3 linked regions of the Stegostoma tigrinum genome follow. The protein of the gene in region 1 purifies or fractionates together with the protein of each later gene. This does not show direct contact. Links are inferred from orthologs where the notes say so. Each region holds a gene or a part of one and is shown in the gene's direction. Other genes may lie near its edges.

Evidence for each region.
Region 2: the proteins of neurabin-2-like (region 1) and WD repeat-containing protein 48 purify together in Homo sapiens (affinity purification with mass spectrometry; 3 studies listed by BioGRID and IntAct, with this or other methods). This does not show direct contact. The link is inferred for Stegostoma tigrinum from reciprocal best matches to the Homo sapiens genes PPP1R9B and WDR48.
Region 3: the proteins of neurabin-2-like (region 1) and ppp1cb purify together in Homo sapiens (affinity purification with mass spectrometry; 4 studies listed by BioGRID and IntAct, with this or other methods). This does not show direct contact. The link is inferred for Stegostoma tigrinum from reciprocal best matches to the Homo sapiens genes PPP1R9B and PPP1CB.

Annotation. Positions count from the first base shown.
Region 1 is NC_081384.1:21,255,941-21,263,400, forward strand, and holds the start of neurabin-2-like, read left to right. Parts: upstream 1-4,390; 5' UTR 4,391-4,991; intron 4,992-7,460. UniProt on the Homo sapiens protein: Seems to act as a scaffold protein in multiple signaling pathways. Modulates excitatory synaptic transmission and dendritic spine morphology. Binds to actin filaments (F-actin) and shows cross-linking activity. Binds along the sides of the F-actin.
Region 2 is NC_081355.1:148,392,393-148,400,492, reverse strand, and holds the start of WD repeat-containing protein 48, read left to right. Parts: upstream 1-5,036; 5' UTR 5,037-5,062; coding exon 5,063-5,110; intron 5,111-8,100. UniProt on the Homo sapiens protein: Regulator of deubiquitinating complexes, which acts as a strong activator of USP1, USP12 and USP46. Enhances the USP1-mediated deubiquitination of FANCD2; USP1 being almost inactive by itself.
Region 3 is NC_081357.1:18,405,485-18,413,265, forward strand, and holds the start of ppp1cb (serine/threonine-protein phosphatase PP1-beta catalytic subunit), read left to right. Parts: upstream 1-4,753; 5' UTR 4,754-4,838; coding exon 4,839-4,890; intron 4,891-5,173; exon of another isoform or gene 5,174-5,268; intron 5,269-7,781. UniProt on the Homo sapiens protein: Protein phosphatase that associates with over 200 regulatory proteins to form highly specific holoenzymes which dephosphorylate hundreds of biological targets.

The DNA of each region.
Region 1 (7,460 bases):
CAGAACAGTGAGTGGTGATTTTACTGAAACTTAGACAATTGTGAGGGAGCTTGATGGGTTTGGAGAATGTAAACCAGAGATGGAGTTGCCCCATAATTTGTGAGAATTCATATACTTATAACCAACTTTGTGTGTGGGGAAATGAGTGCTTGAGACCTGTTTTAAATTCGGGATAAATGTGTGAGAATAAATGAACTGTTTATTTTAAAACTCACAAAAGCTCCCTGCTGGAATTATTTAATAGGAACTTGAACACCATTAATAAGACAACATAAACCTCTTTTTTGTTATAAAATACATTGATCAGGGATAATCAGAAAACACAGACATACTTTTGGTACAATATTTTCTTTATAGGTCAGAAATATTTACATTGATCTTAGACCTTCAGTGGATGAAGACCAAGCATGCGTAAACAGGTTGGCTTATTTCCTCAGTATTTTTTCTGTGGCCAACACTTTTGTATCATCTTCTTCAAGATATGAAAGACCTTGTCTGTGATTTTTAACTCATGGAGTTTTGGACATATAAACATAGGAAATAGGAGCAGGCCATTCAGCCCTTTGGGCCTGCTCTGCCATTCAATATGATCATGGCTGATTGTCCAGTTCAGCAACCTGTTACCACTCTCTTCTCATACCCTTTGATTCCGTTTAGCCCTAAGAGCTATACCTAACTCAGTTTGAAAACATTCAATGTTTTGGCCTCAACTGCATTCTGTGACAGAGAATTCCATGCATTCACCAGTCCCCCAGTGAAGACATTTCTCCTCATGTCAGTTCTAAATGGCGTACTCTGTATCCTTAGATATACACCTTCTCAAAACTCGATGTACATCTGGTTCTGGTCTTGTGGTCACTGGAAACAGCCTTTCCGCATTTACCCTGATTAATCCTGTTTAGGATTTTCTATGTTTCCATGAGATGCCCTCACATTCTTCTAAACTCCAGTGAACATAGTCCTAACCAATCCATTCTCTCTTCATATGTCAGACCTGCTGTCCCATGAATCAGCTGAGTTAATCTCTGTTGTCTTTTCTCTATTATCAGGACAACCTTCCTTAGGTAAGGAGACAAAAAATGCACACAGTACTGAGGATATGTATTTTACTCACTAAGGCATGTACAACTGCAGCAAGACATCCCTGCTCCTTTACTCAAATCGTCTTGCTGTGAAGGTCAACGTTCCATTTGTTGCCTTCTTCACCTGTTGCACCTGCATGATTTGCATCTGGTATGCAAAGGCACATGTGTCCCACTGCACCTCTCTCTCTTTCCCAGCCTATGGCCATTCAAATGATAATCAATCTTACTGATTTTGCTACCAAAGTTGATAAATACACATTTATCTACTTTATACTTCATTTGTTATGCAGTTACCTGCACAATAGGCTTGTCAAAATCACAGTGAAGCATCTCTGCACCCTTCTCACAGCCTTCCACCCTACTTTGAGACGTTGATGAATTTGGAACCTTTAGCTTTGTTAAATGGTTAATCTTGATGATAATGAATAACAACTTCCTTTAATGTTTCTTTGTCCCTGAAGCTAAATATGCATAGCCATCATTGTACATATTGTTACAAGGAATATTTGATTGCCAGTCGATAGTTGCATTTATGAATGTCTCAGTAAGAATCAGTCCTCTTAAGTGAAAATGACCCATTCACTTTGTACTTTCTGATGAAATTGGAGTGGAGCCTACTCTTCCATCATGTTTTCCATATCCTTTCAACCCATTCAAATGAAAGGGACAAACCTACGTTACAAAATATAACAAAGGCATCCTACCTTGTGACTTTTTTTGGCTTTGCAGAATTATAATTGCAAAATGCAATGCATTTGAAAAAAAGTCAAGATGTTGCTTATTTTTGGGTAATATGCCTGCAGGGTAATTTTGCATTTATTTGCCTTTAGAACATTTTGTGTTTCTAAATAATAGCAAAAATGATAGGGAGTATCTAATTTCTGTGAATTTTACCCATTTCTTTTGGGGCTCCCTAGAAATTCTACAAAGACATATCTCATACTCACCCAAATATGAAACATAACCACTGTCTTGTTGACTGTTGAACAGGATTCACTATTTATAATTGTATTTTACATTTAAGGAAGAACTTTGATAGTTTGAGTAGTTCTTAACATTATCAAGCCATCACAAGATGCTTCACAGCCAATGAATAGTGAAGGGGACTGTCAGCAATTACAGCAGAATGTAGATAGACTGGAGAGTTGGGCAGATAAATGGCAGATGGAGTTCAATCTGGGCAAATGCGAGGTGATGCATTTTGGAAGATCAAATTCAAGGGCGAACTATACAGTAAATGGAAAAGTCCTAGGGAAATTTGATGAACAGAGAGATCTGGGTGTTCAGGTCCATTGTTCCCTGAAGGTGACAACGCAGGTCAATAGGGTGGTCAAGAAGGCATATGGCATGCTTTCCTTCATTGGGCGGGGTATTGAGTACAAGAGTTGGCAGTTCGTGTTGCAGTTGTATAGGACTTTGGTTCGGCCACATTTGGAGTACTGTGTACAGTTCTGGTTGCCACAGTACCAAAAGGATGTGGATGCTTTGGAGAGGGTGCAGAGGAGGTTCACCAGGATGTTGCCTGGTATGGAGGGTGCTAGCTTTGAAGAGAGGTTGAATAGATTAGGATTGTTTTCATTAGAAAGACTGACATTGAGGGGGGACCTGATTGAGGTCTACAAAATCATGAGGGGTATAGACAGGGTGGATAGCAAAAAGCTTTTTCCCAGAGTGGGGGACTCAATTACTCGGGTTCATGAGTTCAAAGTGAGAGGAGGAAAGTTTATGGGAGATATGCGTGGTAAGTTCTTTACACAGAAGGTGGTGGGTGCCTGGAACGTGTTGCCGGCGGAGGTGGTAGACGCAGACACATTAGCATCTTTTAAGATATATTTGGACAGGTACATGGATGGGCAGGGAGCAAATGGACACAGACCGTTGGAAAATAGATGACAAGTTAGACAGAGGATCTTGATCGGCGCAGGCTTGGAGGGCCGAAGGGCCTGTTCCTGTGCTGTAGGTTTCTTTGTTTCTTTGAATCACTCAGGGCTGAATCTTACTTGTTTTAGAAAAGTGTCACTTTTGTTGAGCATTATGGAAGGTTTCTCCTCATGTATCCCACTGAGTTTTCTCACACTATTGTCCTAAACTCACCTCCTTTACTACTACCCACCCCTGCTCACCATTCTCTTCTGATACATGCCAATTCTCCCTATGGCTGCATATGGAAGTTCTTGTCACCACTGGAATCCCTGGCTCTGGCAGAATCTCTGAAAGCCCCTGAAGTGCAATACTGAAGTATCTTTGAAGTGGATCAAAGATGTACTATGATGGCATGGCAAGACAGGCATGTTTTGGATGCCAACACCTCCAAATGTGGAGTCATTGGTGCTGGAAATCCAAAATGTAAGTCTGGAGGTACCTACTCTGATTTTCATGTCTGGAATTCTTAGAGTATAGCATCAATCTGGTATGTGCTAGGAGAGTGCTTCTTAATGAGCTGCAATTGTGTAATAATTAAGGTGATAATGAGTGGTAATTTCCATTAGTATATCTCTTGCCACTCACTGGCAAGAATCTCCTATTGATGTTTGGAACTTAATTGGAAAGTGTGACTTGAGAAAGGCCTTGCTTGACTTCCCTTGCAATTTTCCCAATTCTCTTGCCATAGCCCACATCATTCAGGATGTGGGAAGATTCTCCCTTTAGAATTTAATTAGGGTGCTACAACAACAGCTCAGTTGGCTGGGCATCTGGTTTGCAATGTAGAATGATACCAGCAGAATGTGTTAATATCCCTCACTGGCTGAGATTACCATGAAGGACTCTTCTCAACTCCTCCCCTCACCTGAGGTGCGGTGACCGACAGGTTAAGCCACTTCGAACCGTGTCTCTCTCAAATAAGGGAGCAGTCCTCTGGTCCAGTTGTATTTATGGTGACTTTATTCCCAAATCAACAAACATCAGAGTAACATTATTATGATATGCAACATTCCAAGCCATAATGAACAATGGTTACTGTGTGAGAATACATTTATTAATGAATATTTCTTCCATATTATGTTAACAATCATACAATCTTTACCTCCTAATATACTCATAAAAGCAATGGATCAGTCAGACGGACAAAATATTTTTGTTCAGCTTTGAACAGGTCTTAAAGAAATGATTTGGCTCCAGTGTTTTAGCTGACCCATTCATTTCTACCTGACTTTTTTTTAAAAAGGGCATATATTTGATCTGAACGCCGCGATGATGTGACTGTCAATCACCAAGATTCTCAGCTTCCACTGGCTGTAAAATACAGATTGGGGTTACATTCATCCAATCAGGGGTAACTATTCTTTTTCGATGTGTGTCCCATTTCCTAAACGAATGAAGGATTTGAGTTGGAGCTGTAGGGTTTTTTTGTGTGTGAAGGGTGTCGGTCGGGTAATTAGGTCTTGGTATAAATTACAAGTCAGTATGGAACAGGAGAGAAGGCAGGAAAGGAAGACACCAATAGAAAGAGCTTATAATTGTTTAACATAATTATTACAGCACCAATACTACTTAGAGAATATTTTTTATGACTGTGGAGGTGGGTTTGTTTAAGCATAATTGTCGAAATTGATAGTCACTGCCTTAAGAATATTTCCCGGAGCTGCCAGGAATCCAAGAGGGTTCGAATGGAAGGCATAACGATCTTATCGCACTAAGAGCTTGTGACGGAACATTATTTTTCATTCCCTGAAATGAACTAAGATAAATAAATATACAGCAAGAGGTTGCGAGTCCACACACAAAGGCGACATCCACATGAATACACGCTCTGGTATTGTGTAGAAGCTCCGCCTGCAGCGTGACTGTCGGTGGGTCAAGACGATGTGACATGTATAGCTGGTGAAATCCAGTATTGCGGCACATCACAGACGAGGAAACATAGACAGCGACAAGGAAACAACAAAACTGCAAACGGGTTACAATGTAAGTCAGCTTCCTTTTCCCTCTCCTCCCCAGCGCAAAGCTGCAATTGCTGAATGACAGCAGCAACTTACGGTTTTTCTTTCAAAAAACAGAGAAAGAATCTAATGGGGGAACGTTTCCTGTTTGTAACACTTTCCGGATCCGACGTTTTGGGCTAAAATGACAGTTAATCAGGGAAATGGGAAATAACGCGCAGGAAACGCAACGTAGTCAGGCCTTTTGTATAGTGGCTTTCTCCTGGATCCTAGTGCGACTGAGACTAGATTCTCATTCAGAACATTTGTACTTTATACAGTATACGGACAGACACGGGACATATTATTGCTTAATAGATACTACCACACGTGTATTTGATCATCTTAAAACAAAATTCTGTTGAACAGTTCTTCTAATGTATTTGATTAGTTTTAAGATAATTGGGACATCCTGGGATCGTTAAAGGCACAATGCAAATGCAAGTCGTTTTATTTAAGTGTGCTTGCACGCCTTTTGAATTATATATTCAGTGCAACTAAACAAAAAGGGTTAATCTGAATTAGTAAAGCCAGTAATTTATAAGGGTTGAATGCTTCTGTGAATGCCTGTAAACATGACAGGAACATGGAAAGTGAAATCTGAGAAAATCTTTAACACCAAGAGAACTCGTGGGATCTAATTCTTAATTGCTGAACTTCTTCTGCACAGGTTATGGAAATATAATTCAATGGTGTTGAAGAGTTCAGACATATCAGGAGTCTATTATCCTGTACTGTTAAATCACTAGGAAATTGTTTATAAACAGGGAGCAAAGTTAATATAACTATTCATTTGCTAATGCAAAATGTCCAAATGAGGGAAAAGACTTCTGTTGATTTAATTTTCACTTTAATGACAACAAGAATTGGAGATTTAATTGTATTAACAGTTTAACCTTTTAGTAGACAAAGCCTAGATTCCCTAGAATTTAGAAGATTCGGCGGTGATCTAATTGAAATATATAAAATTCTCAGGGGCCTTTGTATGATGAATTCTGGAGCAATTTCCTGTGGCTGTGAAGCCAGGATTAAGGTTCTTGGACTGAGAATTTGGCTATTTAGAACTGAGATGAGGAGACATGTCTTCCCTCAAAGTGTTGTCTATCTTTGGAGTTTTCTGCTCTCAGAGTAGTTCAGTTATTGAGTTTATTCAGGACAGAGATTGATATATTTCTGGATACTAAGGGAATTAAAACAAAAAGTCACCATAGCCCTACCTGAGGGTCACCACATCTCAGGTCCCTTACCTGAGATTGAGAAGGAGAGTCCATCAGGGTAACCTCAGCTGGTGCAGGAATTCAGCCCATACTGTTGGCTTTAATCTGGGTATTGCAATCCAGCCGCTCAGCCAAGTGAGCTAACCAACCCTCACAAAGGGAATTAAAGGTTATGGGAATGATACAGAAAAATGGAGTTGAATTGCATGATCAACTATGATTTTATTAAATGACAGACAAAGCTCAAAGAACTGAAAGGCCTACTCCTACTGCTACTTCTGTCTTTGAAGTTTTAATGATCTTAACTTCAACTGTTATTGATTCAAAGCCATGCTGTATCCTAAAGACCATATTCAAGATCATATTGTAAATACAGTCCTTACAACATTGAATTGTAGGTGTACTCCATTAATGTAATAGCTGTAGTGCAATTTTTAGTAGACAAATGGTCTGATTATGAAACAGATGTTTGCAGATTCATAAGTGTTGGTTAGAGTTAAAGTAGTGCCAGTAGCAGTGATTACTGATTGAATTGCTGATTTTTTTTAGATTGAACTTGTATTTATATATACAATTACATGAGAAATATCTGAGACCAATTATATTTACAGTTAAAATGTAATTGAGGACTCCTGTTGCTTTGGATAGACAAGTCAGTCCAGGTAACTTGGGAAAAGAAAATGTAGTAACATGTAATTTAGGAGACTAGACAAAACAAGGAAAAACAAACATTTTAAGTAGTACTCCAGCATCTTTTTTTCAGGAGGAACATTCCAAGGTGAAGTGCAATCATGAAATACACAGAGAGTACTATATACTGCAAATGAAGTTTTTTTTATAGTGATAGACTGCTTGGCCAATAACTCCAAATCTTTCAGGTAAAATACACTTTCACTAAATTATTCTTAGAGATCAAATGTCAACTTAAATTCTGGAAAGCACAATTTTATATGTAACTAGTAATCTCTCATGCTGTACCTTTGTCATGAAAATTGCACATGGTTTTCAGATATAACCCAATGTCCATTTTAAAGCCAAATATTTTTCTCTTATTTTTACGTGGTTTAATGTTACATGTTATCACTTAACAGTAAAAACAAACAAATTTATATGAAACAGAGATATATAGTTGGTAGGAATGAAGGTTTCGCTGCTGAATAGGTTAAGAAGTCACATAGCACAAAACTGAGGCAATATAGTGCCACCAGTAGTCAGCAAGTATAATTGGAGTGTGACAG
Region 2 (8,100 bases), on another chromosome or scaffold:
TATCTAAACATCCCATAAATGCCCCTGTCATATCTGCCTCCACCACCATCCCTGGCAGCTCGTTCCAGAGTCTACCACTATCTGTGTCAAAAAACCTGCCCCTCACATTTCCTTTGAGCTTTCCCCCCTCATCTTAAATGTACGTCCCCTAGTGTTAGATATTTCAACTCTGGGAAAGAGATTCTGAACATCAATACTGCATGTGCATCTCATAATTTTATGGACTTCTATCAAATCTCCCCTCAGCTTCCGCAGCTCCAGAGAAAACAACCCAAGTTTTTCTAGCCTCTCTATAGGTCATACCTTCTAATCCAGGCAACATTCTAGTAAACCTCTTCTGCACCCTCTCCACAGCCTCATCCTTCCTGTAGTGTGGTGACCAGAATTGAACACAGTACTCTTAAGTGTGTGTCCTAACCAAACACTTATAAAACTGCAACATGACATCCTGACTCTTGTACTCAGTTCCCTGACCAATAAAGGCAAGCATGCCATATGCCTTCTTTACCACCCAGCTACTTGCATGACTGCTTTCAGGGAGCTATGGACTTGAATCCCAAGATCGTTCTGTACATCAATTCTGTTCAGAGTCCTGCCATTAACTGTATACTTTTCCTTAGTATTTGATTTCCCAAAGTGTAGTTACTCACACTTATCCAGATTAAACTCCATCTGCAATTTCTCTGCCCACATCTGCGACTGATCTATATCCTGCTGTATACTTTGAAAACCTTCTACACTATCGACAACTGTATCGAACTTCGTATCATCCGCAAACTTACTAACCCAACTCCCAACATTTTTATCCAGGTCATTTATATATATATCACAAACGGCAGAGGTCACTGTGTGGATCTCTGTGGAACACCACTAGTCACTGACCTTCAGCCAGAAAAACATCCTTCCACCACTACCCCCTGCCTTCTATGGGTAAGCCAATTCTGAATCCATGTGGCCAAGTCACCATGGATCCCATGTATCTTAATCTTCTGAGTGAGCCTACCATGAGGGACCTTGTCAAAAGCCTTACTAAAGTCCATGTAGACAACACCCATTGCTCTAACCTCATCAATCACCTTCATCATCTCCTTGAAAAATTGAATTAAGTTAGTCAGACATGACCTGCCCTGCACAAAGCCATGCTGACTGTCCTTAATTAGGCCGTGCTTTTCTATATGTGATTTATGTAAATTTCGAAAGCCTTTGACATGGTCCCACATGGAAGGCTGCTCCAACAGACCCAATGGGATCCAAGGCAGGTTGGCAAAATGGATTCAAAATTGGCTTGCAAATGGGAGGCAAAGGATGATGGTGGAGGGTGTTTCGTAATTGTAAGCCTGTGACTAGTGGTGCACCACAGGGATCAGTGCTGGGACCCTTGTTGATTGTTAAGTATATTAGCAATTTGGATGTGAATGTAAAAGGTGTAATTAGTAAGTTTGCAGATGGTACAAAAACTGGTGGTGTTGTCGACACTGAGATGGATGGTCTGAGGTTATAGTCTGATATTGGTCAGCTGGTAAATTTGGCGGAGCAATGGCAGATGGAATTTGATCCTGATAAGTGCGAGGTGATGCATTTTGGGAGGTTTTATAGGGGAAGGATATACACAGTGAATGGTAGCTCCCTAGGGAGTACTGAGCAACAAAGAAACCTTGGTATACAAGTCCACAGGTCCCTGAAAATGTCAGTACAAGTAGATAGGGCAGGGATGAAGGCATACGGGATGCTTGCCTTCGTTACCAAGAGAGAAGACCAGAAGCAGAGAACTTCATAGAGCATTGGTTAGGCTACAGATGGAATGCTGTGTGTAATACTGGTGTCCACTCTATCGAAAGGATGTGATTGAACTGGAGAGGGTGCAGAGGAGATTCACCGGGATGTTGTCTGGGATGGAAAGTCTCAGTTATGAGGACAGGCTGGATAAAATGGGTAATGTTCCTTGGAGCTGAAGAGGCTAAGGCATACCTGATTGAAGCATACAAAATTACGTGAGGTATAGATAGAGCATATTGTAAGAATATTTTTCCACATGGCAGAAGGCTGGGGTTATTTTCCCTGGAGTGTTGGATGCTGAGAGGTCACGTCATAGAGGTTTATAAAGCCATGAGAGGCATGGATAGGGTAAATAGTCAAGGTCTTTTCCCTGGGGTGGGGGAGTCCAAAACTAGAGGGTGTAGGTTTACGGTAAGAGGAGAAAGATTTAAAAAGGATCGAAGGGGCACCTATTTCATGCAGAGGGTCGTGCGTGTGTGAAAGGAGCTGCAGAGGAAGTGGTACAGGGTTATCTCTGATCACAATTATAGCCTCACTGCGAAGCATCTTCCAGGGATGCCTAACCTGAAGAAGTTACCCTCCTCCCTCCGGACCAACCTCAGGAAATCTCTCTCCCACTGCAACTCTCTTGTAATTCGGTCCACCTCCCCCTCTCTCCCTATTTATTCCAGTTCCCTCTCCCCATCCCCCTCTCTAATGAAGGGTCTAGGCCCGAAACGTCAGCTTTTGTGCTCCTGAGATGCTGCTTGGCCTGCTGTGTTCATCCAGCTCCAAACTTTGTTATCTTGGATTCTCCAGCATCTGCAGTTCCCATTATCTCGACTTGAGGAAATGTTTCTTTTTGCCAAGAGGGTGGTATAGATGTTGGGGAGGCAATGGCCTAATGGCATTGTCGCTGGACTGTTAATCCAGAGACCCAGATAATGCTCTGGGGACCAGGATTCAAATCACGGCTGGTGGAATTTGAATTCAATAAATATCAGGAATTAAGAATCTAATGAAGACCATGAATCCATTGTCGACTATCAGGAGAAACCCATCTGGTCACTAATATCCTTTAGGGAAGGAAACTGCCATCCTTACCTGGTCTGGCCTACATGTGACACCAGACCCACAGCAATGTGATTAACACTTAACTGCCCTCTGGGCAACTGTGTTGAGCAATAAATGCTGCCTAACCAGCAACACCCTCATCCCGTGAAAGAATAAAGGAAAAAAGATATAAATGTGCTGCCTGAGAGAGTGATGGAAGCAGGAAGTCTCACAACATTTAAGAAGCATTTGGACTGGCACACAAAACGTCAGGGCATAGCAGGCTGTGGACCAAGTGCTGGTAAAAGGGATTAGCGTAGTTTGATGTTTGGTGGCTGAAGGGCCTGTTTCTACACTCTAAGACTCTATGACTATGGCCTATTCCTACTCAAGCGTAACTGGAAAACTCTTGTCATTTTTTATGTATTGAGTCCACTCAGGTATGCCACAGGTCTCTATGCTTGTCTGAGAGTGTCCTCAGCTATATACTGATCTCAGTAATGCTGAAAGAACTGGTCCAAGCCTGTCTTGTAGACATTAGAACTCTCATTTCCAAGTTTTCCTCATTTCTTCCTTGGGCCCCATTTACAGCACATCGACAAAGTACAAATTACAAACAGAAAGTGTTGGAGATATTCAACCAGGGCTAGGCCAGTATTTATTGCCCATCCCTAATGCCCAGAGGGCAAAGGCAACCACATTGCTGTGGGTTTGGAGTCAAATGTAGGTTAGACAAGGTAAGGATAACAGTTTCTTTCCCTAAAATAGCCAGATGATTTTATTTCTGACAATCAACAACAGTTTAATGTCGCCATCAGACTCTTCATTCCAGTTTTTTTTACTGAATTCAAATTCCACCATCTGCAATGTTGGGATTCAAACAAGATATCCTAAATTAATCTAGTCCCATTCGTCAGCATTCTCTAAACCCTTCCTATTCACATATCCATCGAGATGACTTTTAAATGTTGTAATTGTACCAGCTCCTCACCACTTCTTCTGGTAGCTCATTCTATATACGTACCAGTGTCTACATGAAAAAGTTGCCCTTTAGGTCCCTTTTAAATCTTTCCCCTCTCATCTTAAACCTATGTCCTCTAACTTTGGACTCCCTTCACCCCAGGGAAAAGACCTTGTCCCCAGAACATTACCTAGGTCTCCAGATTAACAGTCCAGCATTAATACCACAAGACCATCCAGGTCAATAGACTCCAGAGTTTAAAAACCAGACAGGATAGCACACCGATGCTTCATCAGAGGCTGCACTGAGGATGTTACCCAACATGGTAAGGAAATGTCTGCGGAACAACAAACCAGCTCAGCGAGCCAACCAACCTCAACACCCACAATCCAAGCTACAAATCTATTCCAAAACCTTAGAGGCCATCATCTTCCCCAGAAGGATAAGTGGTCTCAAAGTTTTGGTTATGGTTTGTCTTCAACAAACACAGGGAGTGCTGGAGAAACCTAGCAGGTCCACCAGCATCTGCTGCCTCACAGTGCCAGGAACCTGGTTTCGATTCCACCCTCGGGTGACTGTGAGGAGTTTGCACATTCTCCCCGTGTCTGCGTGAGTTTCCTTAGAGTGCTCTGGTTTCCTTCCACAATCCAAAGATTTGCAAGCTAGGTGGATTGGCCATGCTAAATTGCCCGTAGTGTCCAAGGATGTTTAAGTTAGGCAGGTGAGACATGGGGAATGCAGGAGGTGGGAGATGGGTCTAGGTGGGACACTCTTTGGAGGGGCAGTGTGAGCTTGTTGGGCTGAATGGTGTGTTTCTATACTGTAGGGATTCTATGAGCAGAAACAGTCAACGTTTCGAGTCTGGTATGGAATGCATTCAGAAGTGATATCGGAGTTGAAACATTAACAGTTCTGCTCTCCACAGAGGCTGCCAGACTTGCTGAATGCATCTGGCTTTTACCTCGGTGTTTGATTCAGATTTCCAGCAGCCACAGTATCTTGCCAAGGTTTTACTTCACACCGTAAGATACTTTAGTGCAGAAGTTGGCTCAGTTTTGCAGATGCTGGCCATTTTAATGTTTGTTTTGTTTTAATTTCAGATTCCTGGCATCATCTCGTAGCATGCTTGGTTACACATTGATGGGATAATTTGAGGGAGGTGTGTCAATGCGTGCGTGTCACTGACTGGGAGAGACAATGCCTCCAGGTGAGGAGGGCCCTACCTGCTGGCCCCGCCCACTCACTTCCGCCCGCCGCCGGACAGGAAGTGACGTCGCGGTGTCAACATGCAAAATGGCGGCCCATCATCGGCAGAATACCGCGGCCCGGAGGAAAGTCCAGGTGAGGGGCCTGCGCGACCGTCTCGGTCCCTGCTTCCCCGACCGCCCGGATGGGAGCCGCCACCTTCCTCACTTCCCGCTCCCCGGCGCCTCTCCACAGCCCTGCCCAAATCCAGCGCTTGCAGCCGCGATCGGGAGGAGGGAGAGGGGAAGAGGAGAGGCGATTAAGGGGGGTGGGAGGGAGAGAAGGGAGTGGAGGAGAGGGGATGTGGGATGGGGAGGAGAAGGGACGGGGAGTTGTTGGGAGGGGGTAAAAGAGAGCAGATTGGGGAAGTTGTGGGTCTGGAGGGAGGGGATGTGGGAAAGTGGTCAGGAAAGAGAGAGAAAGGGGCTGGGGATGGGATAGAGAAAGCAAGATGGGAGAGTGAGGCACTTTGTGGGGAGAGGGGTTCACGGCCTGTGCTAGGGCCCTCTTCCCAAATCTCCCCAACCCCCTTTTTTTTGCTGTCCCCACCCTGGTCCACTGTCATGTTTGCAATATTCTAGTTTTTCTGGAAACCAGTCCTTTCTTGCTGAACTTTTGTGTCCAGGAGTCATCTGTGATCTGCTGTTTGTTTTATTGTAAGACTTAATGTTAGAGATTTGAAACAAAAAAAAATCACTGGAAAAACATGGTAGGTGAGGAGAAAACAGAGTTAATGTGTCTGACCCTTCTTGAGAACTGATTAATTCTGAGCTATCACTCTTTGGGACCTGTGTTTCAGTGGTTTCAGCTTCATCTGCTTTCTCTCCCATCAATTTAGTTTTGTTTGTACAGTTTCCTTTGTATTCTGTGTGGCAGTGGTTTGTTGAGTACTTTTGAAGTAGGGAGGGAAGAGCCTCCTTTGGCACAGAAACACACTAGCATAACCCAAAGTGGGCCAGATGGCCTGTGTTTGCTGTGAGTTCTGTTAAGACTTTTAAATGGTATTATGCCTGTGCATTACTTGTAGCCTGTTGCTTCAAATTGCTGGTATCAATTACTCCATCAGCAGCAGTGCTGCAGTTATTTCATCATACTGATGTTCTTTTGCTCAGTATCCTAGATTTTGCACCTCAGTTTGTGTACTTTCAGGTAAGTGATCTTTTGCAAGTTTCCTGTGCAAAATGTAAGTCTTCACTATTATCTTCATCTGCAGTTCATATATTTTTCAAACTTACCTTGTATTTCAGAAGACCCAACATGCACTCTGTAGAAGGGCAGAATAATCTGTAGTGTTTGAATACCTGAATGGCTTGATTTGCAATTAGAATCACAAATTGTGCATTTTTTCATTAAGTTTGTTGGACCATGGAATGTGTTGTCAAAAAATGTGGTTGCACCTTGTCAGGGAAATTTGTACGAATCTTTGAAACAGTAGAGTGCATGGCAATGGGGAGAAAGTGGTACTCAGATGAATAATAAGTTGCTTTTGCAGAGCACAAGTGCCTGCACTTTTGGGAGCTATAGGGCTTCTCTTGTGATGTAAACGTCCATGGTTCCTTTATAGTCAAGATAGAGATGTTTTCTGAAGTTTGTGCGATGACACTTAGGTAACTGGTTTTCTGTGAATGAACATGTTAAGCTCTGTGAGGATTAATATTCTGGTTTGCTTTGCTATCTATTTAAGTGTTGATTTAAAACTAATTTGGTTTTGAAATAAACTGTAGAAAATCCTCTTGCTTCCAGTGACATTGACAAACTGTTGAGCTTTTGTTAAATGCTTTATGAATTTGTCTGTACTACTTTTTTTATCTTGACATCCTGCAACCTCTTCAGCGAGCCAGTATTGCACATTCCGAAATGTACCAAGTGCAAAACAAGGAAACGGTTCGTAGTCACGGAGGTATTGTGCTGGGCAGTTCTAAATGGGTCTACAAAGGGTGTCATGACGGGCTATGCAAAAGACTTGAGAAATTGCTACCAAGGCTGAAGGCATCGTTTATGCTGAATGATTCAAGAAGCTGATAAAGCATTAGCTGCTGAGGTGATTTGGTGGCCTACATGTAGAGGGAAACATCCAATATTTTATTGTGGTCTTTCTTCGTCAGAAGTAGCCCCAGCCTTAACTATTAACTTTTTTCCCCTCTCTTGTCACACAGTTGTAGACTTATTAAATATTGCCAGAGTTTTGTTATTTTCAGCTTTCAGTATGTGCAGTCTGTTTAAGCTGTGATTTTTCTCAGACGAGAGTTGACAGCTTCTGATCTGTTCAAGATTGTCAGGGTTTTGGATAGAGCAGGTAGGAATTGTTACCTTATCTAGATAATGGGAACTTAGAATCCATAGGTTTAAAATAACTGGCAAAAGAATTAGAAGGGAAATTACAAATGTTAGTACATGTGGTTGTAAAAACCTGGAATGCACGGTTTGATAGGGTAGTGGAATGAGATTCCATAGGCAGTCAAATAAAAGCAAAAAGTAAGCTACAAAGTATGAATCTGAAATAAAAGCAGAAAATGCTGGCGCACCTCCCCATGTCTGGTACAATCTGTGGAGACAGTAACAGAGTCAATGTTAAGTCCAATATGACTGAGTCCTATTGGATTCAAAACATTAATTCTATTTTTTCTTCTCCATAGATGCTGCAAGTCATGAGTTACTTAACAACATTTTCTGTTTTTATTTTGAAAGGCAATTTAGATTTGAATTTAAAGGATACAGATTTGCAGGGAGCTGATGAAAAGGCAGAATTGTGGGGCTAGATTGGACAGGTCTTTTTTAAAAAAAAGACCTGTCCAATTCTCTTCCTTTTGGTCCAGCCATATTCCATGATTCTGCGCTATGCAACCAGCGCATTTTTGATGCAGTATGACAACTTTGGATGTCGTCATATTGTCTGGTTGTGGCCTCTGCTGTTTGGTTTGCATTTTAACATGTAGAGATTCAGGTCCTGTTGTTACAGCTGACATTGAGTCTGAAACAGTTTGTGATAGCAAATGTGTTACTGACAGCAGATAAAAATCACTATATAATGGTCCTGGAAACAGCCTTGCAGTACCTTAGTTCCCATGACATTGTATCACCTTGTG
Region 3 (7,781 bases), on another chromosome or scaffold:
TCTTTTGAGAATGAAGAAATTCCAAATATTTGCCTTGATCACTTTCACTAGTGTATCATGGAACCAGGAGTTTCATGATGCTTCAACATTTCAAATTTGTCTTGAATTCCATGATGCTTTCTGAGCGTCAGTAGTTTTACGTTTAGATTCTGTATCTCCCTATGTGCCAATCTTCAAGTCTTCTAATAAATGACAGTCAGCCAGTGGAAGGCAGCAGTCAGAGGAAAACACTGCTGTGATATCAGTGGATCTGTCCATGAGTAGTTGAGACACAAATACAATAGCTGTTAGAGAAGGATGAAAACCCCTTACAAAAGCACAGACCATTTTTCAACTTTGCATGTTATCCTTGTGCAGGGGGCTATGATAATGTTCTCTATATCATTTCGATTTGGATTACTTGAGGCCAAAGCGAAAACAGTATTTTTTTTTCCATATCTCACTTCTTAGACACACACTTTTCTCTTCACTGCCTTCATGTGTTCTTAACGTACTCACCTGAATTTGACACATCAAACACAAGTCCAGACTGATCACAGCAGCGTGAATATAGAAACAGGAGATAGTCATTCAGCCTCCAGGGCCTATTCCACCATCTGCCATAGACCATAGGTGATCTGCATGTTAACTCAGTTTACCCACCTTTTGTCCGTATGTCACATTATGCTTGCATCAAATGATACTATGAATTTATCTTTAAAATTCAATTGACCCAGGAAATCAACTTCTCTCTGAAGAAAATTTGAGATTTACAAAAACCTTTCCATGAAAAAGTTTTTCCTGAATGCATTTTTAAATGGTTTTGTTCAACTAAGGAGGAGATGGCCTAGTTGTTTTATCCCTCCAAAAATTCTGTTCTGGGACATAGGTTTGAATCCTGCCACGGTAGTTGGCGGATTTTAATTCAATTTTATAAAAACCTGGAATTGAGAATCTACTTACGACCAAGAAACCATTGCTGATGGATGAGGAAAAAGCTGTCTAATGGCCTTCAGTGAAGGGAATCTGCCATTCTCACCTCATCTGGCCTACATGTTACTCCAGACCCACAACAATGTAATTCACTCTCAAATGTCCTCTGAAACAGCCTGCAAGCCAATAAGTTCAATGGTACTACAAACAGGCAACAAATGCTGGCTAGCCAGCAACATCTACTTCCCATGAGTGATCCAAAAAAAATTAAGATTAGCCCTTCTTGTTTGGAATTCTACACTGGAAGAAGTGGTTTCTCTGTATCCATCTTATTCAGCCCCTAAATTATTTTCATTGCCATAATTTGTTCTCACTAATAAGATCAAGGGTACATTGTCTAAGCTTGTGCAACTTACAAACCCTAGTTTCAGTGGCAGATTGGCTGAAGCACATGCAGAGATGGACAGCAAAGTATCATCAGTAGTGTTATGAAGCAGCACATGCTCAGTAATAAACTGCTCTGTGACGCACAGCTTGGGTTCCATCAAGGCCACTCAGCTCCTGACCTCATTACAGTCTTGGTTCAAATATGGACAAAAGAGTTGAATTACATTGCCGTTGATATCAAGTCTGCATCCAGCTGAGTTTGGCATCAAAGAACCCTAGCAAAACTCCAATCAATGGGGAACTCTCTACTGGTTTGAGTCATACTGGGCACATAGGAAGATGGTTGTGGTTGTTGGAGGTCAGTTAACTCAACTCCAGGATATCTCTGCAGGTGGTCCTCAGAGTAGTATCCTAGGCTCAGCCACCTTCAGCTGCTTCATTGACGCCCTTGCCTCCATCATAAGGACAGAAGTGGGAATGTTCATTGATGATTGCACAATGTTCAGCACCATTCAGGATTTCTCAGATACTGAAGCAGTCCATGTTCAAATGCAACAAAATCTGGGCTGACAAGTAGCACATAACATTCATGCCACACAAACGCCAAACAGTGACTGTCTCCTATTGGAGACAATCTAACCACCATCCTTTGACATTCAATGGTGTGACCATCACTGAATCCCCCACTATCGACATCCTGGAGATTAGCATTCACCAGAAACTCAACTGACTCACCACATAAACATAGTGGCTACAAGAGAAAAGTCCGAAGCTAGGAATATTTCAACAAGTAACTCACCTCCTGAATCCCCAACGCCTGTCCATCATCTACAAGCACTAGTCAGGAGTGTGATGGAATACACCCCACTTTCCTGGATGGGTACAGCATTCATTCCTTCCACCATCGACATCAGTTGCTGTAGTGTGCAGTATCTATAAGATGCATTACAGGAATTTGCCAAAGTTCCTTAGACATTGCCTCCCAAATCTAATAATCACTCACATGTGGAAGGGCAACGGCAGCAGTTACTTGGGAACACCTGCAAGTTCCCCTCCATGTGACCTACCATCTTGGCTTGGAAATATATCGCCATTCCTTCACTGTTGCTGGGTCAAAATCCAGGAATTCCCTCCCTAAAGCCATTGTGGGTCCACCTACAGCATGTGGACGACAGCAGTGCAAGAAGACAGTCTACCACCACATACTCAAGGGCAACTAGGGACAGGCAATAAATGCTGGCTCAGCCAGTGCGGCCCATGAAAACTTGAAGGAATTAAGGGGGAAGAGTTGATTGCCTTCTACCATTTTCAGACATGGGGTATGGAGGTGAATGAATGGGGTGGCACGGTGGCTCAGTGGTTAGCACTACTGCCTCACAGCGCAGAGATCTGGGTTTGATTCCAGCCTCAGGCAACTATCTGTGCAGAGTTTGCACATTCTCCTTGAGTCTGCATGGGTTTCCTCCCATATCTAAAGATGTGCAGGCTAGGTGGATTGGTCAAGCTAAATTGCCCATAGTGTTCAGGGATGAGTCGATTAGGTTGGTTAGAGGGGGATGGGTCTGGGTGGGATGCTCAAGAGGGCCAGTGAGGACTTGAGTGGCCTATTTTGACACTCTAGGGATTCTATAATGATTTCCATTTAGCTGCATCCACTCCTGTTGAGGCAGCCAGCACACACACATTGTGTTGCTTTATCATTTTAATTATTACAGCATAAAGATTGTGAGCTATTATGCTGCTGGTTGAATGTTCAGAAATTAATCTCAGTTGGTAATCATGAACCACCCAACTGCAATGAAGGGATTCTGTCTTCCTCTTCCACGCTTCCACTTGCTTCCCTTCCTCATGTTCATTTCAAGGTAGTCTCCAGATATACGGTGGCAAGGGCTTTGTTTCTCATGATAATGATGATGGGCTGAATGCCTTCCCTATTTGCTGTAACAATTCTGTGACACAGAGGACTCTTGGACGCTTGAACTTTTGAGTACTTGAGGGGTCCTCTGAGCAATCGAGGCAGGGTAATCATTGCTTTAGTACACCACTGATCTTCTCTCTGATGTTCCCATGTTGGCAGCATGGAACTCATCGCCAGCATTTTCTCCATTCACACCTTAGGGCAAAGAGAGCCATGTGCCCAAATGATATCGCTTGTTTCCAAGTAGACAGGTGTGTTGTGATTGCATAAAGAACAGTGGGAAGATCTGACTGCTGCAGGATGAATAAGTTTTGGCTGCTGACAGGATACCAGGTATTTACCAAAATGATATTTTAGACATTGCAGCAAACCAATGTTTTCGTGAAATGTTAGCTCTTGACATTTCCCTGTTTAGACGTACGGCCCACAGAACCACATACATGCGCAGTCAATGACACTGCATTGTTGGAAAATGTGGTAACCTAGAAATGCCAACTCTGTCCATTTCTGCTAAGATAGAAACAACAGCGTCCCTCTCCTGGACTATATGATCTCTGTCAACTTACTGATGTAATGGTAAATGCTAAACTGGGGAATGTTAACTATTGGGATTGAGATCAGAAGAAATTTCTTCACCCAACAAGTGATGAGCTTGTCGAATTCTACTACCATAGAAAGCAATCAAAGCCAAACATTACAGAGATTGTAGGAATTGCCGATGCTGGAGAATCTGAGATAACATGGTGTGAAGCTGGATGAACATAGCAGGCCAAGCAGCATCAGGGGAGCAGGAAAGCCTTCCTGCTCCTCTGATGCTGCTTGGCCTGTTGTGTTCATAAGGCCAAACATTACATGATTTCAAGAAGGAATTCAGTACTGGGTAGAGCTAAAGGGGTATAAGGATATGGGGGAAAGCAGGAACTGGCTACTGAGATAACAAAGTGAGGAGCTGGATGAACACAGCTGGCCAAGCAGCATCTTAGGAGCACAAAAGCCGACGTTTTGGGCCTAGACCCTTCATCAGAATTGGATGGTCAGCCATGATTATGATGAATGGTGAAGCAGGCCCAAAGGGCTGAGTTAATGGGAACTGCAGATGCTGGAGAATTCCAAGATAATAAAATGTGAGGCTGGATGAACACAGCAGGCCAAGCAGCATCTCAGGAGCACAAAAGCTGACGTTTCGGGCATGTCCCTTGACCACAAGGACTGCAATGGATCAACTTTTCGCGGGCTATTAGGGATGGGAATACGCGCAGGCCTAACCAGCAAAACACATATCCCATGAAAGAATAAAACAAAAGCATCCTATGAAGGCCAGAATGTTCCACAGACTTCCCTGTAAGGAGGAAGCAATACTTGTTCAATGAGCAAACATTCTCATTCACTTTTGCCCTCTGTTGCCGTGTTTATCCCAGTACTGATAGGGTTACGCAGTGAAGAAGCTGCTCTCCTCCGCTGTTGTGTTTTATTCCAGTACTAGCAGGGTTACTCAGCGAAGAAGCTGCCCTCTTCTCTCCCTCTCCGTCGTTGCTGTGTTTTATTCCAGTGCTGACAGGGTTACTGAGTCCCCTCCTCTCTCCCTCCTCTACCGCTGCCCTCGGCTGAAGACTGCTGTAAAATGGCGGACGGAGAGTTGAATGTGGACAGTCTGATAGCTCGGCTGCTGGAGGGTGAGTCGCAGAATCAGTTGGAAAACAGCCTTTTGCTTTTTTTTAAAAAAAATCGTTAATGGTCCCCGGAACAACCTTAGATAACGTTTGTTTGATTTGCGAGGGATCCGGGTTTTTGCATTTCGAGAGGTGGCTCGAAGAAACAGCTCTTCACGGGATTAAAACAAACGCCTTTCCCCCGCCGCCGGTTTTTTTTTGTTAGAATTTGGAATGGTGTCGTTTGAGACGGAAAACCTTTGTACGATTTCGTTATAAAAACACGGAGGGATAGGTTTCGTTTTACCTGAGTGTGGCCTGTTCGGGCTCCGGAGCCTCGGCGTTGTGCTGCTGACAGGGTGGGCGGACGGGCGATGAGGGAGCCCAGGAACTCGGCGCCGGTTTAACCGACGACAATTTCAAATGGTTCCCAACCGCCTGCCTCTCGTGAGGGTGGAAATTGAGTTAGATTTTTTTTCAATTCGGAGTCAAAAGCATTTCATTTATAGTATTCAAAATATTGTAATATTACCCAGAGTTTTTTTTGAGTAAATCTCTTTTTTTTAATAAAACGAGTGAGAATTTTTTTTCCATTTAGGCATCTCTATCGGATCACGGTCTTGTAAAACATTTTAAATATTTAGCTTTGCAAGTTTGAAGGCCTTTGTTCTTTTCCAAAGGCTTGGATTCGAGTTAGTCAATCCCGGCAAGTTTCTATTTGCTGCATTTAGTTAGTGACTAGTAAACGTTTAATTATCGTATCTTTCGTTTGTGAGGGAAACTTTTTTGTCTTTTGATCCTCGTGTCTCCTTGGGGTGTGTCGTTTACTCTCTCATAGTGTTACGGTAAGGAAGGCCGTCGTTGTAGATCTCCTCAATCCATTCCTTACAAGGAGCCTTTCACTGGCTCTTGCCTGATGTCAACTATCTGAAAATATTTCATGTGTTCTTGCTTGTGGGTGTGTTTTTCTGTCCCAGCAGCAACTAGATTACATTGCCCATTTTTCATTCCGAGGAAAAAGGCTATCCCTCATTCCAGCTTAGTTCCATCTCCAGAAGACAATGGACACAGTAAACAAATTAATTTAAGATGGGGATGTAGTGGACCTTTCACTGATGGCTGAATAAGCCAATTTTTGAGAGGCAAGTTCTGCCACAAATGCCAGATATGGAGCTAGAGCATCATTGTAGGTTGATTTTGGTGCTGGTGGCTGTTCCCAAGCTGCGGTAGCCTTGGTCATCGTGGTACCAATTGGATACATCAATGGCTTAACAACAGGAGACACAATATTGGTGGAGGGTTACTTTTCAGACTGGAGGCCTGTGACCAGCAGTGTTCCACAGGCATTGGTCTTAGAACATAGAACATAGAAAAATACAGCACAGTACAGGCCCTTCGGCCCATGATGTTGTGCCGTGGAATGATCCTAATCCCAAAATAAAATAACCTAACCTACATCCCCCCAATTCACTGCTGTCCATGTGCATGTCCAGCAGTCGCTTAAATGTCACTAATGACTCTGCTTCCACGGGCAAAGTATTCCATGCGCTCACAACTCTCTGGATGAAGAACCTCCCTCTGACATCTCCTCTATACCTTCCTCCTAACACCTTAAAACTATGACCCCTCGTGGCAGTCAATCCTGCCCTGGGGAAAAGTCTCTGGCTATCGACTCTATCCGTGCCCCTCATTACCTTGTACACCTTGATCAGGTCACCCCCGCTTCCTCCTTCTCTCCAGAGAGAAAGGTCTGAGCTCCAAATTGGGTCCAATTTTGTTTGTCATTTGTATTAATGATTGGGATGAGAATATAGAAGGCACGGTTAGTTTCTTTTTAATTCATTCACAGGAGAGGGTGTTGCTGCTAGGCAGCATTTATTGCCCAACCCTAATTGCCCAGAGGTCAGTTAAGAGTCAGCCACATTGTGGGTCTGGAGCCACATTAGATTCTTAATTCCAGATATTTATTGAATTCAAATTCTACCCAATGTTATCTGGGTCCAGCAATAATAATGGCATTGTAGACAGTGAAGAAGGTTTTCTCAGATTACAGAGGAATCTTGATCAAATGGATCAATGGGGCAAAAAATAATGGCAGATGGAGTTCAATCTGGATAAATGTGAAGTATTGCATTTTGCTACAACAAACAAGAGTGGGGAGAATGGAGACAACAAGGTGTAGAGCTGGATGAACACAGGCCAATCAGCATCAGAGAAACAGGAAAGCAGACGTTTCGTGTCTAGACCCTTCAGAAATGGGGGAGAGGATGGGGATTCTGAAATAATTAGGGAAAAATGGGGAGGCGGATAGAAGATGGATAAAAGGAGAAGGTACGTGGAGAGGAGACAGACAGGTCAAGGAGATGGGGTAGGAGCCAGTAAAGGTGAGAGTGGGTGGGGAGTTGGGGAAGATTTAGGTCGGTCCAGGCAGTACAGGCAAGCCAAGGAGGTGGGATGAGGCTAGTCGGTAGGAGATGGGGGTGGGACTTGAGATGGGAGGATGGAGAGGTGGGAGGTCAGGCTAGGGAAGTGGGTACGAGCTGGGCTGGCTTTGGGATGTGGCTGGGGAAGGGGAGATTTTGAAACTCGTGAAGTCCACATTGATACCATTGGGCTGCAGGGTTCCCAAGTGAAATATGAGATGCTGTTTTTTGCAACCTTCGGGCGACACTGTTGTGGTACTGCAGGAGGCCTGGGATGGACGTGTAGTCTAAGGAGTGGGAGGGGGAGTTGAAATGGTGAATGGAGACCAGTCACTAATGGTATTCTGCAGTGATCAGTCTGAGGTTCTCTGTTGTCTGTATGTATAAATGATCTCAAGAAAAATGTGGGTGATCTGATTAGCAAGTTTGCAGATAACACAAAGATTGGTGGAGTTGCTGTTGGTGCCAACGATTGTGAAAAGATACAGCAAG